3 linked regions of the Zea mays genome follow. The protein of the gene in region 3 binds, or shares a complex with, the protein of the main gene of each other region. Links are inferred from orthologs where the notes say so. Each region holds a gene or a part of one and is shown on either strand. Other genes may lie near its edges.

Evidence for each region. Proteins that work in one complex are often made in the same cells at the same time.
Region 1: Probable chlorophyll(ide) b reductase NYC1, chloroplastic (region 3) and 7-hydroxymethyl chlorophyll a reductase, chloroplastic share a complex: the UniProt entries of both Arabidopsis thaliana proteins name them as parts of the SGR1-CCE-LHCII complex. The link is inferred for Zea mays from reciprocal best matches to the Arabidopsis thaliana genes NYC1 and HCAR.
Region 2: Probable chlorophyll(ide) b reductase NYC1, chloroplastic (region 3) and uncharacterized protein LOC100272914 share a complex: the UniProt entries of both Arabidopsis thaliana proteins name them as parts of the SGR1-CCE-LHCII complex. The link is inferred for Zea mays from reciprocal best matches to the Arabidopsis thaliana genes NYC1 and ACD2.

What each region holds. Positions count from the first base shown.
Region 1 is NC_050096.1:206,310,302-206,317,129, reverse strand, and holds 7-hydroxymethyl chlorophyll a reductase, chloroplastic, read right to left. Parts: upstream 4,789-6,828; 5' UTR 4,685-4,788; coding exon 4,473-4,684; intron 4,366-4,472; coding exon 4,281-4,365; intron 3,802-4,280; coding exon 3,693-3,801; intron 3,440-3,692; coding exon 3,355-3,439; intron 3,257-3,354; coding exon 3,215-3,256; intron 3,001-3,214; coding exon 2,922-3,000; intron 2,507-2,921; coding exon 2,455-2,506; intron 2,360-2,454; coding exon 2,297-2,359; intron 2,204-2,296; coding exon 2,106-2,203; intron 1,888-2,105; coding exon 1,852-1,887; intron 1,771-1,851; coding exon 1,709-1,770; intron 1,612-1,708; coding exon 1,584-1,611; intron 1,170-1,583; coding exon 1,090-1,169; intron 1,015-1,089; coding exon 945-1,014; intron 826-944; coding exon 768-825; intron 645-767; coding exon 580-644; intron 478-579; coding exon 286-477; 3' UTR 52-285; downstream 1-51. UniProt on the Arabidopsis thaliana protein: Probable iron-sulfur flavoprotein that converts 7-hydroxymethyl chlorophyll a to chlorophyll a using ferredoxin as a reducing equivalent. Catalyzes the reduction of a hydroxymethyl group to a methyl group. Belongs to the chlorophyll catabolic enzymes (CCEs).
Region 2 is NC_050096.1:144,514,608-144,521,435, forward strand, and holds uncharacterized protein LOC100272914, read right to left. Parts: upstream 4,700-6,828; 5' UTR 4,688-4,699; coding exon 4,307-4,687; intron 3,560-4,306; coding exon 2,942-3,559; 3' UTR 2,784-2,941; coding exon of another isoform or gene 2,780-2,783; 3' UTR 2,551-2,779; downstream 1-2,550. UniProt on the Arabidopsis thaliana protein: Catalyzes the key reaction of chlorophyll catabolism, porphyrin macrocycle cleavage of pheophorbide a (pheide a) to a primary fluorescent catabolite (pFCC).
Region 3 is NC_050098.1:2,268,921-2,275,748, reverse strand, and holds the start of Probable chlorophyll(ide) b reductase NYC1, chloroplastic, read left to right. Parts: upstream 1-2,962; 5' UTR 2,963-3,127; coding exon 3,128-3,466; intron 3,467-3,802; coding exon 3,803-3,881; intron 3,882-3,982; coding exon 3,983-4,118; intron 4,119-4,457; coding exon 4,458-4,532; intron 4,533-4,639; coding exon 4,640-4,835; intron 4,836-5,091; coding exon 5,092-5,160; intron 5,161-5,296; coding exon 5,297-5,436; intron 5,437-5,583; coding exon 5,584-5,706; intron 5,707-6,275; coding exon 6,276-6,468; intron 6,469-6,772; coding exon 6,773-6,828. UniProt on the Arabidopsis thaliana protein: Involved in chlorophyll b degradation. Belongs to the chlorophyll catabolic enzymes (CCEs).

The DNA.
Region 1 (6,828 bases), on a different chromosome or scaffold from region 3:
TTTGAGGACTCTGTGGCTTCTTTTATCTTGGACTTATCAAAGACAATATAATTAAAACAAAAGGCATGCCCAGAAAAGCAAATGCAAACTAGAAACTGGCAAGCGCAGGATGTACATACAGATCTGAGCTGCTGCCATGCAGCCTATACATTCTACTGTATACATCGCCACTACGTCACATCACAAACAATTCTTCTACATTCCTTAATCTTTACTACAATGCAGTACAAATACTACCAGCTAGTATACAAATACTACCAGCTAGTAGAGTGTGAATGGTGTGAGTCAGTCACCTGACTGCGTAACCATTGCCTCGATCCGTCCGTCTTTGTCGTAGGCCTCCACGATCTTCTTGGCATACCCCGGGATGTGCTGCTCAGCTCTTTGCTTTCCCCATGCCCGCCTAACATGCAGATAATTCCGAATGGTGTGATAGTCCAGAGAGTAGCGTGCGAACTCCAGACCCTTGGGTCCAACCTGAAACAGCATATCATACAGCACAGCCTGGTTATGTACTCGTGTTCAGTTAACGTTACAAATCTCATGCCATCCCTCCTCTGCAGACGACCAAGAACTGACCAAGTTCAGCAGGAAGGCCAGAATGTCGCCGACGAATCTAGGAGCTGGTTTCGAAGGGCCTTTCCCTGTAGATCCATTCGTTTGTTTATTTACATGAATGTAAGCCAAACGGATCGTCATTGTTACTACTAATTCTATTCCAATGCTAAGTACTAGTATTCCATACAAATGGTGATTAGGGGAGGTACCCAGTTTTGCGGCATCGTCAGCTTTCACTGTCTCCATAACAAACGGTTGCCTGGAGCCCTGAAACAAACAGACACACAGCACCCTTGTCAGTCTCCTAGTACTACGTTGCACGCCTCCCAGGCGCCGAAGAATGTTGTGTGCCAGTTCTATAGCTGCGGATGCAAATGCATGCGTACACTGCTAATTGTAGGTGTGCTTTCCAGAAGGCCAGCTACCAGGTTCAGCATCTCCTGTCCACGATCGTTCCTGAAGGGATAGAGTTCCAATGATGCTCACCAGGGTACTGTTTACAATATAATTGCACAATCCTACTCGCTCTACCTGACTGTAATGTACTGAGGATGCTGTGTCATGGAGACCCCAGCATATTTCGGTACTCCCATATACCCCACCACTAAATCCTGCAGACATTTAACCAAACAACATAGTGACTCTGAGCTGTTTGTCTGCTCCAAGAGAGCAGACTGAAGACATATACCAAGATAACAGATGATATCTCACAACAAATGCTATTCTGAACATGAAGGTTGAAGAGGCACCCAGGCAACTCGAGGTCAAGAGAATTAGTTCAGCTATGTTAGTGCGTAATAATAAGAACGACACAGTCCACGTCATGCAACACATAGATGATTCAGTCTAGTGTGTTTCAGGATTATTCCATCTTTTCTAAACGACACGTGATCCAATCATTTCTATTTGTGCAGATGAGCACTAGGAAGTACAACTTCTGTCTATTTGTGCAGATGAGCACTAGAAAGAAAGTTCCTATTCAAAACAAGGGACCCTATTCAAATTCAAAATGATGGAAACCTTACCGCCAAGCCATTTGTGTAGTCAAAGCAGCTGCAATTGGTATAAGCAAATCATTAGCTCACCTGTGAACGGCCAATAAAAGTTTTGGAAAAGAAACTAACAACCCGATATACTGAATAGAGAATACCTATAGCATGACGGTGCAATAACATCTACCAGGTCGTTTGCTGGCAGGCAAAAATAAGGAACCTGCAAAAATTAGGCCCTGACTTAAATAGTTCCATTGTAGAATCCATAAAGCCTCAGAATTATTGGCAAACAAATATTTACCTCTTCAATGTGCCCATCTAAATGCTTTAGATGCACCTGTAAATATTCTCAGTTATACAATGTGATCATACATAAAAAAAATCTAAGGAAAATCATGGCAATTCTGTAAATGCCATGTGTTCTTGTGTTGATCCTAAAACTGCTCCTTGAGCTGTTGATATGGAAAACTGTATTCCTATCCTATTGATTATCCATACATGAACCTACCAATGTGGGAAAAAGAATGTATGCAGCTAATTATTTCAATGTCATACCTTATAGTCTTGCATAAATTCATAATGCATAACAGTTTCTGGCTCACTGCTTGCCGCTTTCAAGAATTTATCAAGCCCTTCACGCGTACCATTGTCAACTAAGAAAAATACAGTATGTTAGAGCTACAATATTATCTTCCACGACAGAAAATGTAAATATTGACTGGTTTGAGAGGAGAAATGGAAATTACCACAGTTTGTTCCAAGCACATAAAGCTTTTCCAAACCAAGGTACTTTTCTACAGATCTCAAAGCTGTAGTTCAAACAATAACTTTAGCAACTTTTACTTTTACATTTGATAAAACATCAGCAATAGAAAGAGAAGAAAGGCCAGGTAAAGGAAAAGACCTTGCACTTGACAGCCCACACCGCAGAAAAGAAGCCGCTTTACACCAGCTGCCTGCCAAAGGAAACTGTGAAACTCTCTGGATTTATAAACTGGTCACTATAGGATATCATATGTATTGTTATGGTTGGAGGGATGATTGGAATAGGCTTTGGAACCCACTAGAATGTGGGGCTACTCCAGATTTAATAGGCTAATAGAATTACATTTGCGGTCTTGCCAAGCAACAAATTCAAATATAATTGAACTACTTCTAATTCTCTTGAATTGGGAAATGGGAACGAATATCTGGATCAATTAACCCTAAATTAATATTAGGACAGCTGATTCTCTCTGACTCTCAGAGATCTGCTGATATGACCCATTATTACTTCTATATGTTATAAGAAAGGGAAAGGAGGCATGGCACCATAGCTTGCATCAAGAATAAGGGGGCATGGGAAGTATAGAGTTAAAAGGAGCGACTTACCTCGACTAAGGCAAGTGTATTGAGATTTGGTGATAATGTTGGCTTCACACCTTTGGCTGCAATTACTTCGTCTGGTGTCCTACAAGAGCATGGCTACTGAGATTAAATGTCACTTCCATTCTAGAAATCAAGGGACATAATGATTAGCATGAGTAATTCATGGATGGACTGATAACAAAAGTTTAAGCTCAAAATAGTTACAGAAAGTCTGGAATTGCAAAAGTATATCCAGTCAAGGAGTGTTATACACAAGCCATAAAGGACAATTCTGAAAGCCATCAGTTTCACAATACCTGGCCAAAACAGGTCTTGGAGCAAGCCTGTCGTCAGGATCACTGCAGAGGGGGTAAAAAACATTATTTGAATCCATGTGGTAATGCTTGTGCATAGCACTGAGAAAGAATGATGTGGCATTTGATTCTTGTTTGGGTGCCTTTGTACACAAACCACAGCATCAACCATGTTTGCTTTCAGCATCTCGACAGCGATTGTTGTCACTATTCCCGTCCACTGGGCTCCTGTTGCATGTGAGGCACATATATGTTACAGGGTACAAAACATAAGTCGTCAGGGTACAGTTTTGTCTAACAAAGGTTTGTTGAGTATATCAAGATAGTGTAGGAAATAAGATGCAACATTCGAGGTGTATGTGGTTTCGGTTTGTTATGGAAGGGCAGTGAACAAGACTGGTATATTGCATATGTGTGCTTCCTTAGATGGATGCAGGCGGTTGTTGAAGGATAAGAACAACTTGTAAAAGGTAATTAGTACCTTCAACAGGTTCGGTCTTCCTGGCATACAAGAGTTGGTCATAGACTCCAAAGTACATTTCATCCATGCCTTCCTTCCGGCCTCTCCCGTGGACTTGTCGCTCAAGATCCTAAATATAGTGAGGAGAGTGTTGGCATCTGTAAATTTGTGTCAACTTTTTTTAGGAAACAGGAGAGTTCCCCGCTTTATTTCACTGAAACAAAGTGTAGAATTCATGTCGAGCATTACTACTCCCTCGGTCTAAATTATAGTTCACTTTAGCTTTATTCTAAATCAAAACTTCTTTTAACTTTGACTTGACCTAAGTATTTTATAAAAAAATATACTCCCTCTGTATATGTTCAAATAAACTATCAAGACATTTTTCACGAAGAAATTGATGAAATCATTTTGATATTGTAGATGGTCTCTATGAACTTGGTCAGAGTTAGAAAAGTTGAACTATAACTTTCGACGGAGGGAGTAACTGCGTGCAGCACTGCAGCCCATGGCTTGATCAAACATCAGACGATCATTTTTGTTTTCATTCAGCAAACTGTTTGAGCCGTTCTAGGCAGGTGATGTGATGCGAAGATGAAGGGAGGTGACCTCGACACGGGACATGCCGTCTCCCAGGAAGGCACAGGCAGTCTTGACATGCGCAACGTAGTATGTGTCGCAGAGCCCACAACGGCTTGAATCGCCATACGAGTAGAAATAGGAACAGAGGTAAGCATCGCATATTCGCATCACATAAACACACAAACAAACAAAGAAATGCGCAGCACAGCAGGCATATACCTGCAGTGGTCCTTGGCAGGGTAGACGGCGCCAGGAGGGATGGGCTTGGATTTCTGCCTCCAGTCCTCCCTGACCGCCTTGGCCCTGATCTTGCGCGTTCTCTCGGACCTGGAGGACGAGGAGGAGGCGAGGGAGGGTCGGCGGAGTCCAGGAGACGAGGACGAGGGCGACGAGGCGTGCAAGCAAAGGGAGAGGGAGGTGCTGGAGGCCATGGTGGCGGAGATCGTCTCACCTCAGTACCTCACCGGTGATAAGACGGAGGATCGAGTGGAGATGGAGGAGTCATGCCTTGAGCCTTTAAGAGAAACTACTGTTACTGGGCCACCTCATGAATTTCGGCTCATGTCCACCCTTTGAGGAAAATTCGGAGCCTGCAAAATGTCCACCCATCGATGCATAGTGCATCTTTTTGGTTTTCATATTTAAAAATATTCAAAATTCAACACTATACCCCGGATAAAAAGTTAACAGAAATTATGCCGCCCATATATGTATTTTTTTACTTCGTAGTCCCTCCTTTTGGTGGGACGACGATCCGTACTCTTAGATTGTCTTCAACACCTTACTCATCATATCTCATATCTCAACCGCTATTTTAAACTTAACTCTTATAAACAGTAGTATACAATATAAAATAATTTTTTACGCGATCATATATATGACTAGGTTCATGCCCATGCGTTGCTACGAAAGTAAAAAAAATAGTATAAAACATAGATACGAAACGATAAACAACATTATGATATGCAAAATCTATGTGGCAAAATATCACTGTAAAACTATTATATTGGCGAGATAAATATGTAATCTTATTATAGCTAATTGCACGTGCGTTGTTACGGTTTCTATATATCAAACAATTAGACTTTATTTTAACAAATCACGAAAACATGTGGGTTCTGTTGGTTAGATGAAGGTGGATGTACAACAAACAAATATTCAAACCACTACCTATTGATAGACTTTGTTTTACAAAACACAAAATATATATCTTCTGTTGGTTAGATGGGTGTGGATGTAAATCCAATAAAGGCCCAAACTACTATTTATGTGTAATTGTACCTAATTTTTGCATAAAGTAGTAATTTTATCTAATTTTTTCATAAAGTGGTAAAGATGACCACTATTTATGTGTAATTGTACCTAATTTTTGCATAAAGTAGTAATTTTATCTAATTTGTTCATAAAGTGGTAAAGATGATCTACGTTGAAACCAGAAAAACTAAGCATTCTTTTTTGCCTTAGCAGAATCTATCAGCACACATCACGCGATTCCAGTCCACCACGTATATATGGAGCAATAGCTTGCCAGTGAACTCATCTCTCGCATGTTATTTCACTCTTCAGTTTAAAATCTGATAGATTGTTTGAGCTAACTCGAGCTCTGCTTCAGATGTTTTGTAGTTAAAATCTGACACGAGACATATATCATATGCAATGGGCACAGATTCTGAATCCTTCCATGTGTTACACATTCTCACAGCGAAGCACAAAACACATGATGTACAATGCACACAGATCTCCCAGGTAGCTAATGACTGCAGAATTTATTCCTGCAACTGAAAGCAACCATTTGTCCATCTCGGTGTGCAGCAAACACATTTGTTCATAGGCGTCCCGTTGCGCGACCACTTGATCCTCATAGTGAAGTAGACCTTGGCAGCGGCGGCCTTAACAATGGTGACCCTAGCCGAGATGAGCACCTTGGTCTTGATCCTGTCCACCTTCACGTGAGGCGGCCCTCGCCTAGCATACCTGACACCGTGGCGTCAAACCACAACTCAGAGACAACGGGAACTCGTAGTTGGTATTCTCGCATGGGAACATACCCACAGGGAGGTTGTGCTAAGCAGGTCCACCAGTGGCTTCTGCATCTTGCCCTTCAACTTTTTCACCAGCCATTCCACTCCATCCCCGACGCTGGTCGAGAGTGACTGCATGTAGTTAGAGCTAGGAAACATCAGCGACGCAATCAGCAAAGAAGAGACAAGACAAGGGCACAAGCGTTTTTCCCTTTGTTCCCCCCATCTGAATTAGGGGGAACAAAGGGTAAAAACCTGACAAGATAAACAAATTACAGAGATCGGAGTTATTCATTCATGGATGCTCTAACTTTTAAAATCACTAACCGATCCATCCATGATTGTTCTAACTTTGAGCTGGTCTATTCATGAGAGGGCGCAGGGACAAACAGGCTGCGTGTGAATGCTAGACGATGCTAGAACAAAAAGAAACCGAACAATTGATGAGCTACAAGAAAGAGCAGGGATGGGATGGTTTTGTCTCACAGACTTCAAGGTCGTCGCCTGCCGAGATCTCCTTGTTGGCCGGTGGCCCCATCCAGTAAACACCCACC
Region 2 (6,828 bases), on a different chromosome or scaffold from region 3:
TCTCCTTCTCTGCCGAAGGTCCTCGGGACGGTGAAATTGCCTATAAGCAACGAGATTAAGTACTGAAGTTACAACAAGCATGCGTGAAGCGCCGAAGGATGTCAACTTTGGCTCAAGGTGGTTACCAAGGTCAAACACAATGGTGAGTCGAAAAGGAAAAGACTCGTTAATCCTTGATGTTTGAATTAGGATTATGTGTATATGTCAGGGTCATAAGTGTATTTTTGCTTAGGCTACGTCCCATGCCTATAAATAGATGAACAGTACCCCGTACTGTTCATGCTGGATTCGGATTGTTCTCTCACCTTCGAGCAAGCCGAAGGTACAAATGTAATATATATCATGTATTACTTTATCAACATATGATATAAACTTCAATAATATTCAATGTTTGATATGATATAAATACTTATTATAACGTTACATTTGAAGACACATTTTCGTATTTGTGAGTGATGAAGATTTGTTCTTCATAACCTTCGTTCAAGAACCATCAAACCCGAAAGGATTTGATGTTTCGAAGAATGAAGGTTCTTTTCATATAACATTTATGTTGCCTTATTTTTTGATTCAGGAATCATAAACAAGAAATCAACATTGGTGTCCACCTCCGGTGAATTCACTTTCACAACCACGGCAATCGCTTCGCAAGGTGATCAAGCTGCGTCTCCTTCGGCAACGAAGCTAGTGCTCCTAATCACAGGTGGTTCAAGCTTCGAACCAGCCAATAAGAAGCAAAAGAAGGAAGCACAGAAAAGAGTACAACATGTTGGAGTACAAGTACCCTTCATCAAGTCCAAATGGTCCCATGTACCGATTACTTTTTATCAAGAAGACCTTCAGCTTAAGGATTACCCTCACAATGATGCCATGGTCATAGCATGTGTCATCAAAGGATTCTTGGTTCACAATGTCCTCGTAGACATGGTAGTGCAGCAGACATTATTTTTGCAAAAGCCTTCAGACAGATGCAACACACCCCTGTGTAGCTTCGGAGGAAAGTAGATAGTGACACTGGGAAAAATAACAATGTTAATCACTTTCGGCTATGTGCACAACATCAGAATAGAGCAAGTTGTATTTGACATTGTAGACATGGATTATCCTTGCATCGTTTCTCTGCTTCCGCTGTTGCTGATACGACGGGCACGCGGCACGCGGCTGTGGTCATGGTCGAGGCCCATTATGTGGCCATGTCAATCTCGGCCGTCCGTGATCCATCCCGCGCCCGCCAGACTATTTATTGAGGCCATACCATACCGCCTAGCACTACCAGTAGCAGGCTTCCAGGTCCGCCTCTCCACCACCGCACGTTTGGAACTGGAATGGAGCCGTGCTTTTTCGTGGCATATCTATTATGCTGTCTTGTTCTTGCTTCATCTCCTTCTGGCGGGGTTATTGCACATCCAATCTGTTTGTTTCTGTTCCAGTTCGTGATTGTTAGGATTCTGCATGCCGTAATTCGTCTCCCGGCCGATCTGCAGCTGCAGCACGATATGTTTGGAGTTAGTCCCTCTCTCTCTGTTTTTTTTTTTACTCTCGCCCCGTGGTGGTTTGCGTACGTGCCGGTGATGATTCACGCAATTGGTGAATTCTGGATGAATGTTCTGGTGCACAGGCATGGTGATATGCACTTCCAAAGCGTCCATCTGAGGCACTCGTTAAATTCAAATATCTGTTTGAAGCCTGGATTCCCAATTTGCAGTTTTACCTTCAAGCCTTTTTGCTTTCGGTCTCATATTTACTACTTTGCCTTCAAGCTGCCGAGACTTTGGGGTAGCCTTTGTTATAACTTTGCGGTTGCCTTTCTTTCTTTTTTTTTTTCCTTGTCTCCTGTGAGGAGGAAGACGGGATCCAATGTCATGACAATCCCAAAGTAACTATGAACTCATTTCGGCTGGAACTCTCATTTCCTTTTGTACTTGGAAGATGAGATACTCGGACATCTTATCCTCAAACATTTTACTGCTCTGATTAGTTTACTACTTTAAGCTGAATGTTTGAATTCACGCATTCAATTCAAAAAATAGAGAAAAACTCGTCCATGCAATGAGGCACACCGCAACGTGTCACTTTGTTTTAATCCAGGGATTTCCTTGACGTATTATCGTGCACAATTGTATACATACGTGAATTTCATTCTGAAACAGATTTTCATCCTATCGCCAAAGTCCAAAAGTTACTGATGTAAAGTCCAGCAAATGCATAAACCCGAACGGCCGTCACGAACTATGCAACGTCCAGATACGCACAAGACAGTAGCTACTTGTTTGACCCCCCCCCCCCCCCCCCCCTCCGGGATCAAAACAAATTTCATAGGACCGATATTATCGAACATTACTTGTTACCATCATCATGTGCATCCGAGCTCAGGAGTGGCTGCTGCTATGCTAGCTCGCCACAGTTTCGCTTGAACACGGAACAACCTGGTTGTAGTTGTCATTTGAACATATCAGGTACACATAATACTATTATGATGCCATATCCGAACATTGCGAAAAATGGTGATGGAGAGTGTTCTTTGCAAAATACATACAGCGGCAAAGGATAGTAGATCTAACATGGATGGATATTTTTTTAATATGTACACCATATACACCAAAGTTTTATATACATAAAACAAGATGCAGCAAAACACACCGCCATTCAGTACCTCCTTTTTAGGCAGAGCTAATTCTTATGCTTATTGGGTATGTTAGCATCAGGAAGACAGGAACGGCTTAGGAACTCTGTGATGAGAGACTGTTCCTGGAAACCTGGTCCTAACAACTGATCATCTTCACCTGCATAGCTCACTTTCATCATCTCAGTTAGCACTTGGTAGTAATATATACACAACTTTAGCACATATACTTTCGATTGTTCAAATAAGGGGGTTTCATGGACTCACAACAATTTTTCTCTACAATAAAGTAACTACATGCTTGTATTTATGAACGACTTACGGCTCTTGTACACCAAAGGCCTTGCGGATTTCAGTTATGACCCGACTAGACACATCCGGACCAAACATCCTGGGAAGGTTTGCAGTCAGGTCAACCTCTATCGATTTCGACCTTACAATCCGGTCCCTCTTGAGCAGGCAGTCCCTCTCCGCCTCATCCATCTCTATGGTGGAATCAACACAGTTGTCAAGCCAAGTCTGAAGAGCCTCCTGAATGACCTTTGCTAACTGTCCATGTATTATCTCTTCCAAGGCTTTCTCACCCCCTTGTCCACAGTCAATGCTCACCATTATTGCTGTAGGCGAGCATGCGCTGCGCACGAAGAGTGACGGAGATCTGTATGGACGAGCCTGCGGTAGCTCCTCGATCTTTCTGCGCTGCTCATCCATTCCAGTTTCCTCGTAGTACTTCTGCAGGTAGTCCGGGTGAAACGCGAGGTCTTTCCGTGGAAGCAGGTCCAGAATCACCACCATTGAAGTTGAGCTGCCTTGTATGAGCTCCAGTAGGAAATGTGGTGCGTCCGTCGAGGCGTTCAGGAAAATGAGAATTGAGGTGATGTCAATGGCACCGTTCGGGACTTCACAGTGAAGCGAGGACTGCAGCATGAAATCAATCTGTAGACAAGGAGGAAACGCACATCAGGTCCTGTCATCGTTTCTTTTTACTACATCTTACAGCAGTAGCAAACAGGAAGCATGTTAATGCAAGCTTTCTTCCATCCTCGACGACATTGCTGTTTTCAATGACTGAAATCACATATTAAGATTGAACTATCAGCTCAAGGACAACAACATATATGACAGTGATATTCAGATTGGACTGCGATTACAGTTTAAGTTTTGGAAATCACGGGACGGATCATTGCCAGTTTCTTTATCTGGAACTCGGCAGTCTCACAAGTCACAACAATAATCTAAGGGACTCAAATGGAGAACTGTTAGTAACCTACAATTGACAAGATGCTTTGATAGAGTTGCATTAGCAATATTTCCATCTAAAACTTTGACAATTCACCTTGAATGGATCAGTGGACAACAATTATCCAATTGGCGAGAAGTAGGCGGTCAGCAAGTGCACCAAACCATACTGAACTGAAACACAAGCCATTTTTTGGTATTCAATACAGATGCCATATATGGGGTGATGTGTGTATTTGAGTACTATATACCAAGGAAAAATGGTGGAATGCATGATGTGCCGATTCCGAGTCATACTGGAGATCCCATAACCGTATTACGCACAGAGCAGTATAGTAGTATGCCCTTATCTTTTGGTATGCAACCACACGAAAGCTGTATTATACTAACATGGTACGGTACTACCACAAGAAAAAAAAAAATAGGATCACTATTGAACTGTACCGACGAGCCAGGAGAGCCCCGTTGCACGTCGAGCGAGCCGACGGCGTTCCCGGCGGCGTTGCGAAACTCGACGACGTCGGCAGGCACGGCGGACGGCAGCAGCCGCGCGCCCAAACGCGCCACCGCCTGATCCGCGACCACCCGCGCCACCTCCCTCTGGGCCATCTCGGGCGCGCGCTTTACCGTAGAATCCGGCTCCGCCGAGGCGCGCACGGGGCTCGACGTTTTGCCCCTGAGCGGGGGAGGCCGCGAGCGGGCTAGCCGGAGGGCACTGAGGCGAGGGAGAGGACTGGAGAGGAAAGAGTAACCCGAGATCAACGCGGGCGCTGTAGCGTGGCTGGTCGCCGGCAGCAACCGGAGATATTGCTCCAGCCGGAGCATGGAGGGGAAGCTGATTCCTGTCCCGGCGTCGGATAGGGGGAGTAAGAAGACGACGTTACAGACTACAGTGACGTGAGAACTAGCAGGTAGCAGCTACAAAGAGGAGGCAGCGCTATCGCCAATGCACGCACAAAAAAGAATTTACGTGATTATCGGGGTGGATATCGAGCCACTCGGCTCGGCTCGACCGAGCTCGAGCTGGCTCGTTAAGGAAACGAGCTGGCTCGGCTCGGCTCGTTAAGCAACCGAGCCAGAGAATCAGCTCGGCTCGGCTCGTTTGCGAGCTCGAGCTGGCTCGTTTATCTCGCGAGCCAGAACAAAAAATATTATACATGTATATATACAACAATATAATTAATTGCTAGTTAATTTCATACTAATTTAACACTAGAAAAGACTAACAATACTCATAATTTTATATATCACATCATCTAAACCGTAAACTAACATAGTTCATCACTTATTAATTCATCTAATACAAGTATAGGCTTTGTTTTACAGATAAATGCTAGCTCATTCGAGCTAACGAGCTGGCTCGAGCTCGTGTCGAGCTGGCTCGTTAACGAACCGAGCTGAGATGTTAGCTCAGCTCGTGATAAAATTGAAACGAGCCGAGTCGAGTCGAGCCGAGCTGGCCACGAGTCGAGCGAGCTCACGAGCCACGAGTATTTTGCCCAGCCACGATTATCTATTAACTCTAATAACTTGGAGGATAGTTCGGAAAATCGGAAGGTCCATATTTTTTATTGCGTTTAAAAAGGCAAAATGTGTGAAGGAGTGTCTTGGACCTAATTTGGGCGCCAATTACTAATGACCGAAGCGAGATTGTAGATAAGATGTAAAATAAATAACACTATCTCGGATGCGGTCTTGAACTTTATCTCTATCGCTGATTTATAGTACACCACCTCTATGATGACCACCATCTATTTAAAACCAAACACCAATGAAGCCTAGTCACTTCTCGTGACGAGCAATACTTTGGGTTCGGCTCTGCAACGTGAACAGCGATGACGGTCCATGACAGGTCACTGAAAGTAGCCTAGAGAGGGGGTGAATAGGCTACACCTGAAATTTTTCACTAAAAACTTCGAGATATGTCAAATTAAAGTTGCACTGGTGCAAACCGGTTCAGTTGATTTTGTTTACAACTGAACAAGTTTGAACCTGCTCAACTTAGATTAAATAATCAGTTAAACTAATATGACGAAGTAGTGAAAGATTTTGCTAATGACTTTCCCTACAGAAAATCCACTCAAATAAATGAATATAAAACAACCAACAATTTTAGGCACTTGACAAGAACGCACAAGAACATGCGATTTAACCCGAGGTTCGGCAACCACCACAAAGGTGTCCTACTCCTCGCTGAGGAGCCCACAAAGGGCCGGGTCTTTTCCAACCCTAATCCTCCACAAGCCGACCACAAAGGTCAAGGCAATCTCTTCTCAAATTTGCTCAAAGAGCGGGTAATATAAACTTCTTGGGGTCGTCCACAAATTTGGAGACTCCCAAGCAACCTCTAACTGTCAAGGAGCACAAGGCTCCAAGAGTAACAAATCCGCACAAGGTTAAGTTTGCAATGAGCTCAAGAACAAAGAGAATGGGAGAATCAAGATGAAATTGACAGCGCGTTAGATCGACTTCACCTCACACCAAGGATCCTTCAAGCGATTGAAGGAGATGCGATTTCGGGTGTGAGATGTGAATTGAATGCCCTTGTTTGGAGTTTGGTCAGCTGAGAAATCGTGGAGAGAGCAGAAGTAATGAAGAGAGAGAGTGTGGCGGGATTTAAAGGATCCCCAAAAAGCTGGCAGCCGTTGGGAGAAAAGAGCCAAAACCGGTTGAACCGGTTTGTAAACCGGTTGAACCGGTTTGTAAACCGGTTTCCACCAGGAAGATCTCGGTTCACTGATCTACTCAGCCGGGGACTCGACCGGATCCAAAACCGGTTGAGTCGGGAAAAATTTCGGTTGAACCGGTTTCACAAAAATATCTGCAACGATTTTTCTGACAGCTATGACTGTCAGACAGTCAAAGCAGGGGTGGCAGAGAAACAGTCCAAAAACCGGTTGAATCGGTTTCAGGTCCGGTTGAACCGGTTTCAGAGGCTGAAGAGCAAGTTTTGAACATTTTGAAGT
Region 3 (6,828 bases):
GGTGGCTACGCGTCAAGAAAGTCGCTTATATAAAACTGTAGTAACACCATGCATGTAGAGTGGTAGAGTACAGCACAGTACGTACTATACTACTGCTAGCCAGGTCGCATCGCATGCCGATAAAATCCAAACGACGATTGAGCAAGCAAGCAGGCGTTTCCCTCCCCTCAAAAGAATCGCTGCTGCGCGCAAGAGGTCAATGGGAAAAAAGGAATGGAAGATGGCGTCTCACTCCTTTCTCTCACGAGCTTGGGATTTGAGCCCTTTTCACCCCTGGAGAGTGGGGACTTTGAAAAAGAAAATAAAAACAAAAGAAAAAAAGTGACGGCCTTGGCGCATTCGCCGAATCATGCATGCATGCTAGATGGCTAGTGGAAGAAGTGTCTTGCCCGCTCGAGGTACTAGTAGTAGTTGGGATTAGGTTTGTGGGCTGCTGAGCTCGAGGCCCCCGCTTGACCAGTGTTTGGCTTCCTTGTCAACGATCTGTCTAGTCGTCCAGCCAGCCAGCCTCGGTGTCCACGCACAGCGCTACTAGTATACTCCAGTAATCTCACTGCTGCACCTGCGTCGCGCGCTCTGTCTGAAAGGTCACCTCGGTCCCGGTGAGTTTGGTGCGTGCATCCAGATCGAGGAAAAAAGTGACTGCAGGACACGGCCGACGTAGTACGCGTCAGTCAACAGGCCGGCCCACTGACTGTGTGTGTTTGTGTGTGTTTTGGAAGAGTTCAAGCTAAACGATGGTAATAATACTACAGTATTTATGAATAGCATGTCTGGTAGCTTTAACTTTGTCCCCTGTGTACGTACTGTATAGTACGCGCGCGTTGCCATACGGCCATAGTACGTACAGTACGTAGTAGTACTATATGCGTAGCGTATTCGACGACAGGCAGAGGCAGGCCTACCTAGCCAGTGTAGCATAGAGCACTGTAGGAATCAGGAACTGGAAAGAGCGCATATGCCGCAGTTAATGCCGGCCCAAACGAATGCCGCTGCAGCAAGCAGCCTTTGCTTGCAGGGAAAAAAAAGGATGATCCAGGAAGCTGCGCGCGGCGGGCCGGCGGCCTGCACTGCACCACGCCGCGCCGCAGGGCGCAGGCTGCCTTCGCTTCGCCTGGCCTCCTGTCCGGGATCCCGTCGCTGGACGTGCAGCCAGCATTGCATGCATGCATGCAGCCAGCAGGCGCTACCGCGCTAGGATACAGCACATCACAGCAGCAGCATTCACCGCCTCTAATTTTTTTTATGGGGGGTGCGTACAACAATTCCACTGGACCACACGAGCGACCCAGCGAGCGAGCAAATGCGATCTGCAGACGAGTTAGTAAATGCTCACATTCTGCCTCTGGTGTTTCTTGTTTCTGCCTTCTCTATCTCTGCAGCTGATGAGCCCTGCACTCCTGCGGTCCTGCCGATGCTTTTTTTATCAACCTCAGCTCCGGCCTGTTGCTGTTGCCACGAGCGAGAGCAATTGGCCTCGCCTTTTGAATTGCCTCCGATCCTCTCGTCGCCCCACGCTCATGCATCGCCCTGCCAAGCAGCAGGCAACCAGTACGGGCGGTGCATCCCGCCCTGTTGGCACGGCCGGCGCCGGCGGCCCGTCGGGTCCACTCACTCACCGATCGAGGCAGAGCAGCAGTACGTGGTAGATGGAGCACAGTAGAGCGTGTTGAGAACTACGTTACCACGGATCACCAAATCCGTCCTCTTCCCTCCCGTCAGCAGTAGATGCGCAAGAAGATGTAGAGAACCCGTCTCCTTCCCATAAGCACGACAGAGGAAACACACGAGACACTGAATATAGTTCTGATCTCTATTATGAGGTGGTGTACAAGTTGCTTATATAGAGATGTGAGACTCCTCAGGAGCAAAGCACGTATTTGCCTACATAACCCTAGAGCGAACCGGACCAGCGTTGCAGCTGTCACTCTACTTTTGCTCTGGGTCCGACCCACTGACTCAAAGCCCGACGAGCTAGGACGATCGTCGATGGTTCAGTGCACGTACGTTTGCCGTGGCACTCCCGCGCGCGCACGCCGCAGCCAACTCAACCGATGGATGGACGGTCAAACCAAGCAGGCGAACGGAGTCGGCAGCACAGCCACAGCGCTGAGTCACCTCCTCGCGTGCGTTTGCGTGCCGGACTAACGGGAGTTGCGTTGCGTGCACGTGTTTATTTGCTCTAATAACCGCGCACGCTTGGCGTCGCCGTACGTGTAACAGGAATTTTTTGCCACTAATGTGCATCTGCAAGTTTTGTCCTGTCGTAAACACCAGATGATGCTGCCGAACACGTACGAGTTGCGTTTAGGGAAAAAAATTTGTTGCAGCCCGGCTGCAAACCAGGCTGTTTGCAGCCCCTCACAAAAAGGTGGATAGGCCCCACCTGCAGGTCCACCAGATAACGTTTTAGTTGTATTATTTACCTGCGGGTGGGACCTATCCTCCTTTTTGTGAGGGGCTGCAAACAGCCTGGTTTGCAGCCGGGCTGCAACAAATTTTTTTCCTGCGTTTAGGGTTTTGGACGACGACGAAACATTGGCATCCGGGGGGGCTCGGAGGTCCCGTGCAGATCTCGTTCGCAGACAAATAAAAATATAACATGGGCCAAAATGCTCAAACGACACGTACGTACGCGTTTACAAGTATCTGTCTAGGATTCTGAGATATTTCTTCGACGATTCTGAGATACTTGATTTTTTTGCTGACATCTGTGTGCTAGCCCTGGTCCGAGCTCTATCTCCGTGTCCGTGGAATGGACTGGACAGGGACTCGGTGCAGCCGCATCCGCCCAGCGCTGGGGACCCTGAAGCCAAAGCGAACGGCCACGTGGCGCCTATCCGCGCGAATGGGACGGATGGATGAGGTTGCAGCAGCGTGTGGCCGCCGGCCAGTTCATCTGAGCCCAAAGAACTTCACAAACCAGTCCAGGGTCCTTTCTGCAATAACCTGAAGAAGCTACGATTATTATATTTATTCACTGGTAAAGCCCAGTGGAGAGCACACGCCTCTTCTCCCCCCCCAAAAAATCCAGCAGCAGCAGCAAGCCCCACGCAACATTAGCAGCAGGAGACCACCCCAATCCCCCACGGACATTCGCCGCGAACCCTTATCTGCACGCCGCGCCATGGCCGCCGCCGCCGCCGCCGCGGTCGCCCACCTCTCCATCCACGGCCGCCTCCGCCGCTCACCGGAGCATCGGCCGTCCATCACCACCACCACCACCTCCTCCTCTTCCTCGTCCGCTCACCGCCCGTCCCTGCTGCGGTGCCGCGCGTTCAAGCAGGAGGCCGGCGACGGCGACCCGGCTGAGGCCGACGCGCGGAAGCGCAGGAAGGGCCCGCTGTACAAGCTCAAGGCGGCGATCCAGGGCCTCGCGGGATCCCGCTCCGCCGCCGCCGAGGTGTACGGGGGAGAGTACCAGTACCAGCGCGCCGTCGAGAAGGCGGAGGAGATATTCTTCTCGGTGAGCACCGCACCGGCCTCCGCTCGCGAATCCTTGCGGCGTGCCCCCCACCCTCACCAGTCACCACGCTTATCTGTTTGCTCACACACACACCTGAATGAATTGCCTAACTATGCTGGAGTACTACTATCAGGAACGCAAATAAATGTCCAGTGCTCGCTAATTACAGCCTTAGTACCTTAAACCGTGGCATCATGAACAAACAAGGGTTTGTTCATTGTTGCATGTGATCCAGGCTTGCAGTCCACCATACCAAGTCGTATATTTCTCTTATTCCATTTCTCCTGTGCATAAGGGTTTCTTATATGTTTGCTGATCTCAGTCACCTTCTCGCAGGTTACTACTCAGCTAGGCAGATATGTTATCACTATGATGAGCAGCGGTGTTGTACTTGGGGTTGGATTCCAGCTGTCAGGTTTGCCATACGTTTATGCCTCTCGTTTCATTTCACTCTTGGCCTTTTCCTGAAATTCCAATTTAATTAGACGGACTATTTTTTTTAAACCCCTCACCCAGGTGGAGACAGCCAAATGAACGAACTAATTTGGTATAGCTGGCTTGGTGGGGTGATTATCGGCACAATGATAGGTGCAAACAGTGTCCTAGAGGAACACTGCAAAGCTGGACCTCGCAATGTCGTCATAACTGGAAGGTACCTTGTTTCCATCCTTCGTTCAAGATGCCTTCTGCAAAATTTTCCAGGACTCTGTATGCACCATTTTTCAATTTTCATTTATTAGCTGACTTGCCCTGTAAGAAAAGTATTGCACAGCATATTATTGATAGCATATGAAATCACTCTAGAAAACAGAAACTGTCGAGGTTAATGGATTTAGCTACTTAAGAAGGAAATAAAGTTTGGCTGTGTTTTTCAAGTTTTTGCAGTTTCACTGCTCACGGCCATTGGATAGGTTATTTCATACTGTTGTTTCTTATTTCGGCAATTAGCATTGACATCAGTTTTTTTTTTTTTGTTATAAAAAAATTCCAGCACAAGAGGGTTAGGAAAAGCGCTTGCTCGTGAGTTTCTTCTTTCTGGAGACCGTGTTGTAATTACTTCACGAAGGTGATATTCATGAGAACTTTAGTCTAGTTCTACAAGGTTTCATACTTTTTCCTTATGGAGCTTTATGCTTTATTTTAGTTTTAAATATTTTCTTTTTGTGATGGCAGTCCTGAATCAGTCCTTCAGACTATAAAAGAACTTGAAGAGAACATACAGGAAGGGTTATCTGTTGCCAAAAAGAAGCAGAGGAATATTCTATCGCATGCCAAGGTTGTTGGTACAGATTGTGATGTCTGTAAACCTGAAGATGTGAAGGAGTTAGTGAATTTTGCTATTAATGAGCTTGGTTCAGTTGATATTTGGGTAGGTAATTCATTACAGTTTTGTAGCTTAAATCTATATCTTATTTGGTCTACCTTTTGTTTTGCTAAAGAAATATTTAAGTAAAGTTGGATTATACAGAGTTTATAACATTTACATCAGTTGTGAAATGTACTTTATATATATGATGACATTAAGATAGATTTTGTGGTGCCCACTTTTATGCTTTTCTGTATGGTTCTATGGCTACATCAAAGAAGAATATTATTTACCACTTCTTCTCCAACCTTGTGTGCAGATAAATAACGCTGGCACAAATAAAGGTTTTAGGCCATTGGTAACCTTTTCAGATGATGACATCACTCAGGTTCGTTATTGTTATATTATGTTGTGTTTTTATCATTTTTTATGTATGTATCATTGATCAGAGGACCTGGCTTAATCATGCTACCTTATTTCCATCTTTTTATTAATTTATTCTGATCTATTTCATGTTGTTACAGATCGTCTCAACAAACCTAGTTGGTTCTCTACTGTGCACCAGAGAAGCCATGAATGTCATGCAATACCAAGAGAAGGGAGGCCATATATTCAACATGGATGGAGCAGGTTCTGGAGGATCAAGCACACCACTAACAGCTGTGTAAGCATCTTAGCTTTCGAATACTCTGTTGCTTCTTTATAGCTTCTACTGTATAGATGTGTGTTTTTTGTTGCTAAAACTTGAGTGTCCTGTATTGGAGTTCTTTATGTTATGAAGCGAGATCTGATGCTGAACTCAAATTTGTAGCTATGGTTCAACTAAATGTGGACTAAAGCAGTTCCAAGGATCACTTCTGAACGAAAGCAGAAGATCAAAAGTTGGAGTGCATACTGCTTCACCTGGTATGGTCCTCACAGACCTTCTGTTAAGGTAAGCTCTCCATACTTATCAGTTGTCATTATATGATTTGTAAAGGTCGCTGTGAACTTCATATACGTTGACTGTCTGATATAAGAATAATATTGCATTTGACTTGGCCCAAATGTTCATAATTTCTAAACTGCAGAGTATCGTGTAACAATTAACAATTTGAGGACACGGTTTGACTTTGTGCTTCTTTGCATACATATGCATAACACATCAAATGTCAAGCTGTGTAGATGTTTCTGAGATTACCTTGGCACAAATCGGCATAGTCTGGTGCTGTAGAATACTAGAATATATATTCCATAGCTATGTGAATTAGTTGTTTCTCTATATATGAAATTAATTAGTGAGACATGTTTTAGCTATGAGTCTACAACATGCTTAAATAAGTAAATAACTATGATAACAGAAAGACCAAACATAGCCTTAGTAGTTCTTGTCTAGTTTTGCTATATGTGTAAATGTGAATTACTTCTTTTGCAGACTACTCACCTATGATCTGATGAACCCTCTTACTGTGACATGTTGGAATCATGATTCTTCTTCTTTACTGACTACCTGTTTCTTTGCAGTGGTTCATCGCTCAGAAATAAACAGATGTTCAATTTAATATGTGAACTTCCAGAAACAGTAGCCAGAACTTTGGTTCCAAGGATGAGAGTTGTAAAAGGAAGTGGAAAGGCAATCAACTACTTAACACCACCAAGGATCTTGCTTGCTCTGGTTACTGCATGGGTTCGACGGGGTCGATGGTTTGACGACGAGGTACACAGATCTAGTTATTTTATACTAAATACTAACTTACACGTAGGAATCCAATAGTGTCAGTTGTCCTAGGTTTATATTTTATTTAGTAATATCAATGGTTAGTAGTAGATGTGTTTGAATAATTTTTTGCACTATACCATTGCTCCTTAGAGCTTTAATTGCTGCCAGCTGCTTGTGCCCTCGTAACTATACAGCGATTGTTTAGGGTGTCCTGCCATAGCATACTGAAGTTTATATTAATTTTCTCTGCCTTTTATTGTGCTCTGAGTCATATGATCAATCATTTATCCCGTTATTACAGGGAAGAGCGGTGTATGCAGCTGAAGCTGATAGAATTCGCAACTGGGCTGAAAGTCG